2 linked regions of the Caenorhabditis elegans genome follow. The protein of the gene in region 1 purifies or fractionates together with the protein of each later gene. This does not show direct contact. Each region holds a gene or a part of one and is shown on either strand. Other genes may lie near its edges.

Region 1 (3,757 bases):
GAATTATGAAACACGTGTTATTTGAAACACCACAATAATATTTATATAAATATACGATGTTTAGAAATAAGAACACTGAGGAAGTTTTACTGTCATATTTTTGAAGAACATAAATCGAGATAAGGAAAAATATATAAAAGTCTTAGAGAACAAGACAGGCGACGTTTACAATCTAGAAAAATAAATGTCTAAAACTTTCGAAATATGCGTTCGAAGATTGTACAGATGAACCGGGAACACGGACAAAAAATCTTCGGAATTGAAGTCTCGCTGAACCTTATTGAAAGCTTCAGCAGATAAAGACAACTCACTTACACTCTTCGACGATGAAACGGTCAATGTTTTTTTTAATGTTATGCACTCCGAGAAATTTTGATAAAATTTCACGTTTTCACGTGTGGATATAGCCGAGTTCACTATGTTATCACGTTTTTACTCAATTCTTTTTAAAAGTATTATTATTGCAACAAGATCATTCCCAGCCTATACTATTGTGCAGAACATCGTTTGCAAGAAAAAAAGCTGTCGAGAGGGCAAAATCGGCCTGAACAAAGTTATTGCAAAACTTTGACATACTTTTTTATGTTTGATCATACGATTTTCATCGCTCTCCTCAAATTCATATTTGTTTTTATTTCCTCTAACAGTGTAATTGTGCTAATGGATATATGATCATGAAACTATTCAATTTGCAGAAAATCAATAGACTTTGCCCTTTTGTAAAAGCGCAGAAGCTCAGTTTCCACAACATGAAAAAAGCAAATACTCTAGACTTTAGGAACGGATTATAGTAGCCATTATCAGTAATGTAAACTTTAAAAAGCAAAGGAATCAAGAAAACAGGTTCTAATTTAGAACAAATAGCAACTTGGTAAATAAGAATTGGCCTTGTACTTTTAAGTTTGTAGTCTCACTTGCTTTTTGTCATGGTGTTTTGCTCAATTATCGAGAAACTGTAAGAATGATGAAACTACTTCCAAAATGTTTAATCGTATTTAACAAACACGTGGGTTAAATAGAAAAATAAATTATATCTCAAATAGAACAGTGATTTTTCACTGAAAAAAACGGATTTTAAAGCCTTTTTAAACCTAATCAAGCAGAAAAAACAATTAATACGATATTCGATATTTTTCCGTAACTTTTCTTGTTAATTCCGATATCTAGGAATCTCATATCTCGATTATTTCGATCTATTCATGATAGGGGAAAGCTTTCAGATATTTCCAGTTTCTAATTAGCGAAACAGATCTAATCTAGAACATTTATCGCCATCCGTGAGACAGCTGTTAAATTCTAGTTTAAGGATCGGCTAAAATTCGAATAAAATGCGACGAAAATTCAAAAAAGCCAGCAGATTTATAGAAATTTGCATAGAAAATGAAGAAAATGGAAAAAAGTGTTTTTACAAGTGTCGTAATGTGTTGGGCATTGTACGTGACAGTTGCTCACGGTGTTTGCGGACTTTGACAATTTCTGGATTTTTTGGGCCTTTTTTTTGTGCATTTTTCGCATATTTGTTTCTAATTTTCACAAGAATTTTAATTAAATTTACACGAATATTTTAATTTTTCGCTAAAATAACTGCTCAACAAAGTTCCGAGCCATATATAATCTTTCTCCAGATATTTCTGTAAATGTTCATGTGTTATCCGGATTCTTTGTATTACCAGAAATTTTATTTTATTCGAAACAATTATTTACAAAAGCTATTTGAGTTTGGGAGTATGTGGCTAGTTATCGATTTTCTAATTTTCAGTTTTGGGCTCTATTATGGCTTCAAATGTTTCATTTCAAACATTTCACAGTAGTTTTATTTGCAAAAAATAATGTTTATTCAACTTGATCGTTTTGCTACGAGGTGCTCCGCCTCTTATTCGTTCCTTCTTCCCTTTCCGTTTCTATTTATTAATCCAAACCGAACCACTATTTTCAGACGAAGTGTTTCAACCTTACAACCAAACAAAATGTCGCAACACAAGTTCCTTTTCACCTCCGAATCTGTCTCTGAAGGGCATCCTGACAAGATGTGTGACCAGGTAAGTAACCAACGAAACATTAATAAGGTGCCAGGTTTTTTTTAGTTTCATGGTTTCGAAAATGCGTATATATTTTTGATGTCAGCCATTCTTCGCGTCATTTCTCAAACGAAGATTTCTATTTTCAGATCTCGGACGCTGTTCTTGATGCTCATTTGGCTCAAGATCCTCACGCAAAGGTTGCATGTGGTAAGTGGTTCAGGACTTCTTGATATCCTTCAGCGAAAGTTCAACAACAATATGGAACTGCGATGAGCAAAAGTCCTAATTATTATCCCCTAACAACGTTCAGAGATTCGGCGGAAGACATGGAAGTCAGGCGGTCACATTCAGTACACACACATCGTGTTAACATGATATTGATATTTGTGTTGTGAATTTGATTTGCAGAAGGATCAACAGTGAACTCGTACCGTTCACTGTAGTTCTTTTGCATTTATCGCCTATTCATGTCTCTGATTTCAGGCTCTACGGGTGTTGGATGATGCGGGAAACGGGGCTGAAGCTTATCGCAACAATATGTTTCTTTACCTGTTACAACGGTTACTTTGATTACAGAAACGGTGACTAAAACGGGTATGATCATGTTGTGCGGTGAGATCACCTCGAAAGCTGTCGTCGACTACCAGGTTCTCGTCCGAAACGTCATTAAGAAAATTGGATACGATGATTCCTCGAAAGGTATGAAGAATATAATTTCGTTTCTACACTATTGGCTCATCACATTGTGTCAGGAATCTCATTTTCTTGGTTTATTGATTAAATACAGTATTCAATTTCAGGATTCGATTACAAGACATGCAATGTTCTTGTTGCACTCGAACAACAATCACCTGAAATCGCTGCTGGAGTCCACGTGGACAAGGATAGTGACGATGTCGGAGCCGGAGATCAAGGAATTATGTTTGGATATGCTACTGATGAAACCGAAGAAGCGATGCCATTGACTCTTCTCTTGTCTCACAAGCTGAACCGGAAGCTTCACGAGCTCCGTAGATCTGGAGAGCTCGAATGGGTTCGTCCGGACTCGAAGACCCAAGTCACAATCGAATATGCTTCGGAAGGAGGAGCATGTGTCCCACTACGCGTCCACACTGTTGTTATCTCCACCCAACATTCTCCAGATATCAGTCTCGATGATTTGAGAAAGGAACTCATCGAAAAGGTAATTAAAAATATTAATAAAAATACAGCTATATTTATTGTTCGGTTTTAGGTTATCAAAGCTGTAATTCCTGCCAATCTCATCGACGACAAGACCATCTATCATCTCAATCCATGTGGATCATTCATTATTGGAGGACCAATGGGAGATGCTGGACTTACTGGACGTAAGATCATCGTTGATACCTACGGAGGATGGGGAGCTCACGGAGGAGGTGCTTTCTCTGGAAAAGACCCAACCAAAGTCGATCGTTCTGCCGCATATGCTGCTCGTTGGGTTGCCAAGTCACTTGTCAAATCAGGACTCTGTCGCCGTTGTCTTGTTCAAGTATCTTATGCAATCGGAGTAGCCAAACCACTTTCAGTGATGGTGTTCTCTTTCGGGACATCTGCGTTGAACGAAGGAGAACTATTGAAAATTGTCAATGACAACTTTGATTTGCGACCTGGAATGATTATTAAGTATGTCAGCCACAAACTAATATTTTTGTTAATTGTAAAGTTTCAGGGATCTCGATTTGAAGAAACCAATTTATGAACCAACCGCTGAGAAC
Region 2 (3,757 bases), on another chromosome or scaffold:
AAAATTTTTTATTCTGAATGACGATCTTAAAATTAGTCAGAAGCTCTGTCTGATGTGAAGCGTGAGAAAAAGTCGTAATGACTCTCTATTTGGAAGTATAATACTCAAAACATTTCCAAGTCAACACAAAGTTCTGCCAGATCATTGGAATATGTCCCGTTGACTGAATTGCACCTGCCTAGACTAATGATTAGGATTTTGATCTTATTTGAAAGTGCTGCATGCTATGCAATTACTCTTTGAAGTGGAAAACATTTCCGAATCTTCAAATATGTTTTCAGGTTCAAAATGTTTTTTTTTCTACTTGAGTATCAATTATGTGCAGAAATAGAAGGGATTGGAAAAATTTGTTCTCAAGATTTGCATTTAGTTATTTTATTTATTTTTCCTTCTTTTTCCTTCTTTTCTTTGCTAGACAAAACATACACCCCGCCAGACATTCATGCCGCCTTCCGGTTATCAGCCAGCCACCCACCTAGATTCGAGATTAACTTGTTATCCATTTTTTCAGAATAACACCAAAACACGAACACTTGTTCCAATTCTCGGTGGGCTGCTAAAACAATATTCAGCCAAGTAGTAATTATGTGGAGACCAGAAGTCTAAGTGTCTACAGGTTTTTGAAACTTGGCGCTGCTCGAAAATAAGTCCTTATCTGAGACAATGATCAGTCTCTGTCTAGATATGGCTTTTGTTTCTCAAAAATTTACGTAATACAAATTTTAAGTCAGACAGAACAGAATCAAAGTGGTCTCTGAAATTTTGTTTATTTTGTTTATTTTCACATTCTGCTAGAATTATTAATCTCATAAAAATTCTGACTTTTGATAAAAATAAAGATTTCAGATTAAAATTGAACTTAGAACTTTTCAAATATTCAAAAAACTCAAAATTTCAAAACTAGGTAATTTGTTTGAGCCTGAATTCAAAAAATTCATTAAAAACTGACTATCAGAAAAAAACGAGACCTTTCCTCATTGTATTGTCTTGTGTTTTTTTAAATTTTATTCTTTATTTCACTTTCTTCAGAGGCCAAAGCCGCACCGTAATCAAAATTAATTAATTTAAAAAATTAGACAACAAAATTTTTGACAAATTCAAAAAGTGTTTTTCAGTCATTTTCGGTTATTTCGGGGCATTTTCCACTTTTTTATACAGAACCCCTATTGTCGATACTTCTAATCAATATTTTAAAAAAATATTTATTAAATCTCGTAACAAAAAAATCAAAAGCTGTATATATGAATGCCTCAAAAAATGCTCACAATTAGCAACTATTGCAAACTTTTTCCAATTTCAGAACTATTTTGGTATTTTTCAATTCTAAAGCGGCTAAACATTGTTCTGTTCAGAAATATGTAATAGATTCATTCAAATATAAATATCAAAAAAAAATAGTTGTATTCATTTTTTTTCCATCTTAGCAAGTACCAATCGCGTATTCTTCCAATACATTAAATCAAATGAAAAACCACAGACAGCACAAATATTGACCCTCTTTTCAAATCTTGATATGGAAAATCCTAATCTTTTTTCAAAAAGTCCAAAATGTCATACATCACTCTTAAGAAGTTCTTAAGTTCTGCTCCACCCATTCCAAATCCCTTTGCATTTTCAGAACAGACAAACCAACCGAATTATCAAATTATCAAGCATATTAGGCTTCCTTTCACATTTTCATCATTTTCACTTCCGATATTTTTGCACATTTTTTGTTTTTCCTGAGCTTTACGCTATTCGCAATTTTCTCAAGAGGGTATGACTTTCTGAGTCATTTTACTCATTTTACTCATTTCTCATATATATTTGACTCCAATTTTTGAAAACGAATTTTGAAGTCGCGCGGGATAAAAGATACAATTTCTTTGAGATAACATTTGTTTTCAAGAGGATTGAGCTTTCTCGGAAGCGACGAAAATTAACCATAACCCAATGGAGATAGACTCCACCCACTTCTCATCTGATCATTTATCGTATTTTACACATTCAAAAATAGGCGACAAGAATCTTCTACTCTAATTTACTGTACTCTCACTGATTTCTGTACTAAATATGCAGAGCAGCAGCAATATTTATATCGATCCAAGCGTTTGTTTATTGCTTAAAGAAAATACATTGCAAATACTGAGAAAAAGAACTTTCTTTTTTAAACAAGAATCAGAAATACGAATAGAATTTAACAATAATCCAATTTCTAAAATTTCAGAAAAACTTTAAAAGTTAGGCCCGATTGGAAAATGCCAATTTTTCCCGTTAAACTGGGGAGAAGGAAAACTTAAGCCTAAACCTAAGCCCAAAGCTAAGCCTAAGCCCAAGCTCACGCTCGCCACTGACGCCAAGTCTAAACAGGAACCCCCTGAAAAATAAAAAAAAACGGAAAATCCTAACCCTAAATATCGTCAGTGGTGACGCCAAGCCTAGGCTTAAACATAAGCCTAAGTCTTTTTAAAACCTAAAAACCTTTTTAAAACCAAAACCTAAGTCTAAGCCTAAAGCTTAGCCTAAGCCTAAGCTTAAACCTAAGGATAAGCCTTAGCTTTTTTTAAAGTCAACGGCTTCGTCATTATTAACACATCAAAAAATGTTTCGTTCTGTGTTTCAAATTTCGTCAAAATTATTTGAATAATTAGAAAACCCTATCTCCACTCTTAAAAAAACCTTTAAAACTCTAATAAGCTTCCAGAAACATAAATTTTCAGATGTATCCCCGGTACGAGTATGCGAATCTGGATATTTCCAGTTTCGAGCGGTCCCCCACATTTGAGCAGCCTCCAAGTTATCCAACATATGATCAACATGTTCAGTTCTTGCCAGAAATCGTGAGCTTAACCAATTTTGCCAGCTCTGCAAATTCAACACATTTTTCAGGAAAACAATGGGCCAAAACAAAAATGTCGGGTTTGCAATCTGGAAGCTCATGGAATGCACTTTGGAGTTCAAACTTGCCGGCCGTGCGCCGCATTTTTCCGGTAACAATAGGTGTAACTATTCACATTTTTTCGGTTTAAATTTGAACTAATCTTGCATGTCATTGTTTTTTTATTCAGAATTCTCTTTGTTTTCTCTTTTTCGTTTTCTATGTTTTCGCAAACCAATGATATTATTTTGTCAGTCCGTTCATATTCTATCACGCTGCGATAAGTTTCAAACAGAGAACAATAGGTGTCACGAGCCGACAGTGGTGAATTGGTATCTAAACAGACATATTTCACAATAATGAATTAGGCAATTTACAAAATGAATAGTTACTCATACTCGATTCTCAGACGTCTGTGCAAGTAGTCAAAACAGTTATTAGTGGATTTACAATAAGGTCTAAACCCGAAAGAAAATTTTATTATGAACTTCTGTAATGTAAAGCATTTTCAAATGATAAAACTGCCCAGTACAGCTTATTAAACGATCAAAGGAAGTTATCAGGTGCTTCACTATCAATTTTGTTCTAAAACATTTGAACTAAAATTTTAATCTGGAAATTGTTTTCTAGGCATATGTGATTCAAAAGTTTGAAGAACAATTTATGCATTTTTTTCACGTTTAAGGATACGGTAAAGTGACCATTGGGGAATTGATTTTTCAAAATTTTCAGCCAAAGTTTTGGGAAACTTTCAAAATATCTATACTATGAAAGCGGCTTTAAAAAATTTTTTCTTGAAACTCTAACTTTTTTTAAATTAATTTCAGTACCCGGAATACAACACAAAATTGCAAAAAAAAAAAATATTTTTGCGCAAAATATAAAAGTTTGGGCTTGGGT

The links. The genes of interacting proteins can lie anywhere in the genome.
Region 2: the proteins of sams-3 (region 1) and nhr-216 fractionate together in Caenorhabditis elegans (co-fractionation; one large-scale study listed by BioGRID). This does not show direct contact.

What each region holds. Positions count from the first base shown.
Region 1 is NC_003282.8:5,846,721-5,850,477, forward strand, and holds the start of sams-3 (putative S-adenosylmethionine synthase 3), read left to right. Parts: upstream 1-1,936; 5' UTR 1,937-1,967; coding exon 1,968-2,039; intron 2,040-2,084; exon of another isoform or gene 2,085-2,119; intron 2,120-2,167; coding exon 2,168-2,228; exon of another isoform or gene 2,229-2,597; coding exon 2,598-2,720; exon of another isoform or gene 2,721-2,821; coding exon 2,822-3,204; intron 3,205-3,255; coding exon 3,256-3,665; intron 3,666-3,711; coding exon 3,712-3,757. UniProt on the Caenorhabditis elegans protein: Catalyzes the formation of S-adenosylmethionine from methionine and ATP. The reaction comprises two steps that are both catalyzed by the same enzyme: formation of S-adenosylmethionine (AdoMet) and triphosphate, and subsequent hydrolysis of the triphosphate.
Region 2 is NC_003283.11:5,357,168-5,360,924, reverse strand, and holds the start of nhr-216 (Nuclear Hormone Receptor family), read left to right. Parts: upstream 1-2,052; coding exon 2,053-2,088; intron 2,089-2,699; coding exon 2,700-2,819; intron 2,820-2,868; coding exon 2,869-2,969; intron 2,970-3,757.